Linked DNA regions of Neurospora crassa OR74A. The protein of the gene in region 1 interacts with the protein of each later gene in a pairwise test. Links are inferred from orthologs where the notes say so. Each region holds a gene or a part of one and is shown in the gene's direction. Other genes may lie near its edges.

The links.
Region 2: the proteins of pcb-7 (region 1) and pcb-5 interact in binary tests that used the Saccharomyces cerevisiae proteins (3 or more experiments, as listed by UniProt). The link is inferred for Neurospora crassa OR74A from reciprocal best matches to the Saccharomyces cerevisiae genes PRE4 and PRE2.

Annotation. Positions count from the first base shown.
Region 1 is NC_026501.1:6,208,120-6,211,696, reverse strand, and holds pcb-7 (20S proteasome subunit), read left to right. Parts: upstream 1-1,272; 5' UTR 1,273-1,503; coding exon 1,504-1,533; intron 1,534-1,637; coding exon 1,638-1,785; intron 1,786-1,855; coding exon 1,856-2,484; 3' UTR 2,485-2,781; downstream 2,782-3,577. Other genes in the region: NCU07364 (hypothetical protein), read right to left, coding at 1-614, 687-738, 805-870; gfa1 (glucosamine-fructose-6-phosphate aminotransferase), read right to left, coding at 3,162-3,382, 3,452-3,577. UniProt on the Saccharomyces cerevisiae protein: Non-catalytic component of the proteasome which degrades poly-ubiquitinated proteins in the cytoplasm and in the nucleus. It is essential for the regulated turnover of proteins and for the removal of misfolded proteins.
Region 2 is NC_026501.1:4,303,189-4,306,982, forward strand, and holds pcb-5 (proteasome component PRE2), read left to right. Parts: upstream 1-1,443; 5' UTR 1,444-1,686; coding exon 1,687-1,821; intron 1,822-2,030; coding exon 2,031-2,771; 3' UTR 2,772-3,147; downstream 3,148-3,794. Other genes in the region: NCU09310 (protein phosphatase type 1 complex subunit Hex2/Reg1), read left to right, coding at 1-115; NCU09308 (glycoprotease), read right to left, coding at 3,300-3,794.

The DNA of each region.
Region 1 (3,577 bases):
CTTGAGGTTCCCGTCGTGACCATCGTTGTGATCATCATCATCATCATCATCAAACCAAACCTCCGTCTCAACCCCCACGAACCTCATCAACTTATCCATCAATCCCGGATTCTTTGTAGCAGCGCTCTGCGCGATGCGCGAGTTGAAATGCTGTCCTTTGTTGCGCTTCAGTTCCAGGAACTTGTCGAATTTGCTGGTTAAAGCGGACAACCGTTCCACCGAAGAGATATCAGAAGGTGAAAGGGGAGGGGAGGCCGGGATGTCCATGTTTGGCAGGGCGGGGAGGGTGAGGTCCCGAAGCAAGGTGCGGGTTGTGGTGTAAGGGGATTTGGGGGGTTCTGCTGAAGGTCCAGATGCTAAGGCGGTGGAGGAAGTGGAAGGGTCGTTGAGGAAAGACATGTCGATGTCGGAGTCGGGCTCGGGGAGGAGGGTGTTGGATGAGGCGACTCCCGTAGGAGGGGGCATTGAGGGGCCGAGAGCTGGCCCGAGTACAGGGCCTACGGGTGTTGATGGCGAGGGGGCTGGTTGTCGTTGTCGTTGCTGTGGCGCTGATATCTCGTTGTGACCGTTTGTACTCGTTGGTGATGATCTCGTTACTGTGGATGGGTCCGCGACTGGCAAAGGGACATCTCATTTAGTTGTCGGGCTTATAACGCGAAAATTGACTTGAGCATGAGGGGCCGTACCGGCATTGCTTCGTGATGCATGTGAAGATATGTCGTTCTTGGTGTTATGTGGCTATGAAACCTTGTCAGCTGGTGAACAACACATGATTTGTATGCTAAGAGCTATCCATATTCTTACCACAGTTGGGGTGTCAACTTGGACATCCTCATCCTCGTCACTGCTGTCGTACGCTACAAGCCCCATTATTGTGCTTGATTTAATGTTAACATGGAAAATCCAGATCAATGGATGTAAGAAGCCCTAGGAATCAAAAGGGCGCCGTTTTTGATGAGTACAGAGAGTGGTCATTAGGTTCGAGATGAAGGGTGTCACGTGCTGATAGGAGGCTCAAGGCCAAGCCTGGACCCAAGTTCAAAACATTCAAGACGCTCGGACCCACGCCTACCTCTACACTACTGTACACTACCCTCTGAGCCAAGACTCCACTGTTTGCATGGAAGCGGACTGGAGGCAGTGACGCCAAGCCAAGCCCAACAGTGGACAGCGGGAGTGAAGGCAGCACCTGGACGCGAAGCTGCAGGCGGGGGCAGGGGATGGAGCTTACTGGATGGCGCAGCCTGCCACTGCCAGCTCCTCCAGCCGTAACGTCAAGCCAACCAGGCGGAAGCTCCCCACGTCAACACCATCATCCCAAACGAAACGAACCATTCTATCGATACCTATCTTGTCCATATTCAACAACCAACGATAACACTTTCTCAGCGAGCGCTATACATTCACGAACAGCGACCGACTTCTACTATTTCGTCGACGTCTCTTGTTTACGAAACGATACCCCGCATTCAGATCATTCTCGATTCCCAACTCTAGTTGACCATGGATCACCGCCCGCAAGCTTGGGGTCGTGTACGTCCTCAACCCCCTCCGCCCGCTGTCGCAGCAGCGCTTATACATATCTCGACCGAACATGAATGGCATGGAACTAACATACTGCTTCACGGCACCTGCAGCCCAGAGACGATGTCTACGGCGCCTATGACCATTCCTACCTCCAGAACAGCGGCCCGAAGCAGGCGACACAAGCACCCATCGTGACGGGTACCTCCGTCATTGCAATGAAGTACAAGGACGGTGTAGTTATGGCCGCGGATAACCTTGGTATGCTCCGAAAAAAAATCAAATGACACCCATCCCATATCACCCCGTGCTGACTTGTTCTGGAAAACAGCCTCCTATGGCTCCCTAGCCCGCTTCCCCGACGTCAAGCGCCTCCGCGTCTTCCTCGACTCCTCCGTCGTCGGCTTTTCCGGCGACGTATCCGACATGCAATTCCTCGACCGGCACCTGACGGACCTCTCCATCGATGAAGCGTACGAGGACCCCTCGTGCACTGCTGCTCCCAACGGCAAGGGTCACCTCAACGCCGCCAACCTGCACAAGTATCTGCAAAAACTCCTCTACAAGCGGCGCAACGATTTCGACCCGCTTTGGAACCAGCTTCTGATCGCCGGTTTCGACGGCCACTCCAAGCCCTACCTGGCCAGCGTTGACCTGCGCGGCACTTCTTTCACTTCTCCATCCCTGGCGACGGGTTTCGGAAGCGCGCTGGCGCAGCCCATCATGCGTCGGTATGCGGAGACGGAGGAGGATGCGGCCAAGTTGACGCGCGAGCAAGCCGTTGAGGTTATCAAGGAGTGCATGAAGGTGCTGTATTATCGCGACGCGAGGAGCTTGGATCGGTACAGCATTGCGGTTGTGACGAAGGATGGCGTCGAGCTGAAGGAGGATGAGCAGCTGGAGAAGCAGAGCTGGGCTTTTGCTGAGCGGATCAAGGGATATGGTACTCAGACTGTTTGAGGTGGTCTATAGATAGCACCGTGTAGAATGAGGGTAGGATAATGAGACCTAGGGGAACATCATGAACTCAAACGAATAGAGGGTCATACGCCGAAGACATCGTGTCCGTTTGCTATTCCGGAGTATGGGAATTGACACGCTATCACAACATGGCATTGGCTTGTCTATCCGGCTCCCACTACGGTCAACTTTCTTCCCTTAAACTGTGCAACACGCGTGTCTTCATGAGCAGAAACGGATTCAACTCCTTTCGCAAGTACATTAGCAAGATAGTAATATCATTACTGTTACTAGCTAAACTCCTTAATCACAGTCCATCACATCGTCCCTGAATGTGACGAATAGATCAAGTAACAAGTAACGCTTCAAGCCATGAGCACAATATCCCGGAATCCATTTGTTCCATCCCACCGACTCCCTTGATTTGCATTTGACTTTCAACCTCTCCGACGCACCTTGGCTTTTCGCCTTTTCCTTCTTCCTTTCCTTTCAGGTCAGATGTTGATGTGCTTCCCAGCCAGCAAGAATACTCCACCACGCCCACCTAGACCAAAGCACGATGTATATTACAAATAGGTATATCAAAAATCCGCACATCAACAGAAGACCTGTCTTCCTTGTCTCGTACGTCTCTTCATGCACAAGTTGATCGCTCGACAACCCCGTTCATTTATCCCTTACTCCACAGTCACCGACTTGGCAAGGTTTCGGGGGAAGTCGACATTGAGGCCCTCCATAACGGCCAACCAATAGGCGATCAACTGCAGAGGAATGACGTTCAAGATACCCTGAAGGCAGTCGACGGTCTTGGGGATCTCGATCTTGACGGCATCGCTGGTCTGGAACTCGGCGTCGCTCTCGTTGCAGATGACGACGGGCTTGCCCTTTCTAGCGACAACTGTTGAAGGGGCTAGCGTTAGCATCTTGTCTGTGGGTTTTAGTCATTGGGAAAATGTGGTAAACGTACCTTGCTGGTAGGCGTTCAAGCTCTTCCTGAAGAGCTTGTCGCGGGTCAAGATCATGATGATAGGGAGGTTCTCGTCGACAAGAGCCAGTACACCGTGCTTCAGCTCACCACTCATGACGGCCTCGC
Region 2 (3,794 bases), about 1.9 Mb from region 1:
ATATGAACAAGGCGAAGACTCCAACAGTGAAGGCCTTTTAGGCCGGGTCATTGATACGGTAAATACGGCCCGGGACATAGTCCACGTTATCTGGAACGTTGGGTGGAAGAGATAATCTACCACTTGGCTAGACAACTCTTATTAACCAATCCATTTTTCAGAAGGAGGCCACGGCGAATAACTTGAACACACAACGATTTCGACTCGGCTGAAGTTTTTTCAATTTGAAGAACAATCACACAAAATAATTCCGCTCGATGGGCTACTATCCAAACATCGCATCTGATGCCAGAGCATGGCACGCAAAAGTGGATCCGCAACAACGACCACCACGACGACCTGCCTACATTATTATCTCGAAGCGGCAACAACCGCAGATATACCCCGGAAGGTCTTTGAGGGGCCTTCCGGTTGCATTGATCACGACAACGCGAAAGCATGCATTGCCATGGTGTTATAGGGTTACATTAATGGTACTTGGGTTTTTTTTTTTTTTTTTCTTTTTTCTTTTATTCCTCCTTCCTACCATTTTGTTTTTCAAAACCACCCGGTTCAGGGTTGGCAGGGGGAGAGCCTGGCGCAGGGAGGGGTGCACTAGGTCTTCGTCACATCGATCGTCAAACAATCAATACCATTTTTCAAGTTGTGTCTTGCTTCATGTCTGACGTATAGGCTTGGTTCGGCTTGGTTTCGGGTTTCCGGTAACGGGTTGAGGAGGCTTATACCGCAGGCTTTTGGAATTCTTACTTGGCTTTGCTCTGGTGTTGGGGGAAGACAAAAATCTGCAGAGGGGAGAACAACGGCATTTGCTCTTTGACCCTTGGATAGTACGCCTTGCCCTCAGGCGGAAAAGTGAAGTCGATATGGTTAGGAATTCAGCTCTCAGGACTTGAGGGTGGCGTTCGAGCGCCGGATGCATTTCCATGGCGTTGGACGGAGAAACCAAAAGGAAAAAAAAAGAGTGTGTCTGGTCCTATCTTACAAATCAGCTCATGTTAACATTCATACTCCTATCCATGTCACGGCGGCGCAAAAAAATGGTGGAGGCATTCTTATGACCGGTACTTGGTCGAAAGTGAGGGTTATACATGTGGCTCATAGTAATTGAAAACGCCACTGTACATCCTGTGCATAGTGGTTAACAAAGATGCTCAGTCAGAACCTAGCATATTCCGAACTGCAGTCCCATCGGTGTGTAACCTGGCTCGCTAGTAGTTCATTATGAAATGCTGATATTAGAGGTACATCGATACCATACCATCCAAAACGACATTCGATGCCGCCAAGAAAGTACAAAGATACCTCCCTGATATGCTGCCAGCTGGCGGCGCCGCCCAACCTGGAAGCTGGTGAACGCGTGCGTGGGAGCTGCCTGGTTGGTGGGCACCTGCGTGTAGGGAGCTCCAAACTGCCCGCCTTTCACTTGCTACCCACTGCCGCTGACGCCGCCATAGCTGCTACCTTGCCAGGCTAACAACAGTGAACGAACGCCTCCACTGACAGCCCATTCGAACCTCAACATCGTCACCACCATCATCTCAACCAGTTGTCCAACTTCCGTCGTCCTCCCGCCGAACGTCTCTCCCCCTCGCAACAATCTATAGCTTCCCGAACCGTCTTTGGGAACTGCCGAACCGCATACCGAACATCGAATCCTCGTCCCTTCAAACAACTTAGTCGACCATCATGGATGCGCTTGTCGCAAGGTACAGCCGTCCGGCTTACCAGCAGAATGAGCTCTTCTCGGAAGAGGAACAGCAAGATCTTTGCGAAACCCAGCCTCCTCTGTCTCTCAAGTTTGCCATGCCTCCAGTAGCTCATGTTCGTCTTTCCTTGTCTGCCTGATCTCCCCCTCCTCAGTACATCTCCCTCAGTACCCCTCCGACCTCATCTCTCTCCCTGCTTGCCCCATCCTAGCTAGCTAGCTAGCTAGACCCCGTCGATGAACGAGCCACAACGACGACGACAACAGTAACGATGATGATGATGATGATGATATGACAATAGGCTAACTTGTTTACCCACAACAGCCCTCCTCCTGGCTCCGCGCCGCAACCGACGACCGCGCCAACCCTTCGTGCCCCATCAAGATCGCCCACGGCACGACCACACTCGCCTTCCGGTTCCAGGGCGGTATCATTGTGGCGACGGACTCTCGCGCAACCGCCGGCAACTGGATCGCCTCGCAAACAGTCAAGAAGGTGATCGAGATCAACAGCGACTTGTTGGGCACCATGGCGGGCGGCGCCGCCGACTGCCAGTACTGGCTGGCGTGGCTGGGCATGCAGTGCCGACTTCACGAATTGCGGCACAAGCGCCGCATCAGCGTCGCGGCGGCCTCCAAGATCCTGGCCAACCTGGTGTACCAGTACAAGGGCATGGGCCTGTCCATGGGCACCATGTGCGCCGGCGTCACCAAGGAGGAAGGACCTGCGCTTTACTACATCGATTCGGACGGCACCCGGCTGGCGGGTAACCTGTTCTGCGTTGGGTCTGGTCAGACTTTTGCCTATGGCGTCCTGGATGCCGAGTATAGATACGACCTGACGGTGGAGGAGGCGCTCGAACTGGGCAGCAGGAGCATTTTGGCCGCTACACATCGTGATGCTTACTCTGGTGGCTTCATCAACTTGTACCACGTCAAGGAGTCGGGATGGGAGAAGCACGGCTTCAACGACACAAACCCCATCTTCTGGAGGACCAAGCTGGAGAAGGGCGAGTTTAGCAACGTCACCAGCGACTTCAATGAGGATGATTCGACCCGCGTTTAAAAGAGGAAGAGGACTGAAAGAGGGACAGAAAGTAGTGATTGTGGCTTGACTGCCCTGGACTGAATGGACGGATGTCAGTGAGGCAGGGGCACTTGGCCAGCAGCATACTACATACACATGATGAAGAAACGATATGAGCAACGAATGGGTCCCCATAGCATTCTAGATTCTTACAGCCAATGCGACATTGGAATGAATCAGCTCGACCAGGCCGTATGCCTACTTTATACGTATGTGAAAACATTGTACAAGAAGGGTGATCGATCAGAAGCAATCAAAGCCCTGACGTCCCAAGTCTAGAAAGCACGCTTGATAGCCCCTTTCCACCGAGCTGTATCCATATCAATAATAATAATAATACATTTTACGCTTCTGACTGCTGCTTTCATACAGATGAACTGTTAATACACAAGAGATGGCAAAGTACACTAGCGCCCCAAACACCCATCACCCATGCACACATCATGTGTTCTTTCTCAACCTAGCAGTCGCGATACTCCCAGTTAATCCTGCCCGTACGGCCGCGGCTCAACGCCTCACATAAAAAGGTTTCTCTTCCGTTCCCAGGATCCCGCCCTGCTCGCCGGTCGAACTCATGCTCCACTTCTTAATTGGCAACATATCCAATTTGCTCACCCAACCCGCCCTGTACATCTCCGACCCCGTCCACGCAATCATGGCCGCGTTGTCCGTACACAGGTTTACAGGCGGAGCCATAATCCGAATGTGTCCGAATCCACGCACCTCCAACACGCGACGGAGAACGTGCCTCAGAAACTGGTTGCTCGCCACGCCACCCGATACCACGAGCGTCTTGACCTTTTGCTGCTCGCACGACGTCTTGGCCTGCTGCTGGAGCACCATGACAATGCGCGAGGCGAGGTGCTCAAAGGCTAGCTGCATCGTCGCGCGAGCTAGGTAGCGGCGCTGCTCAATCTGGTGGTCTTCCTCTTTGAGGGCGGGGGAGAGAATAGTGGTGGAAGAGTCGGGTGAGGGCGCCAAGTCGGACCCGGACTTGGGAGA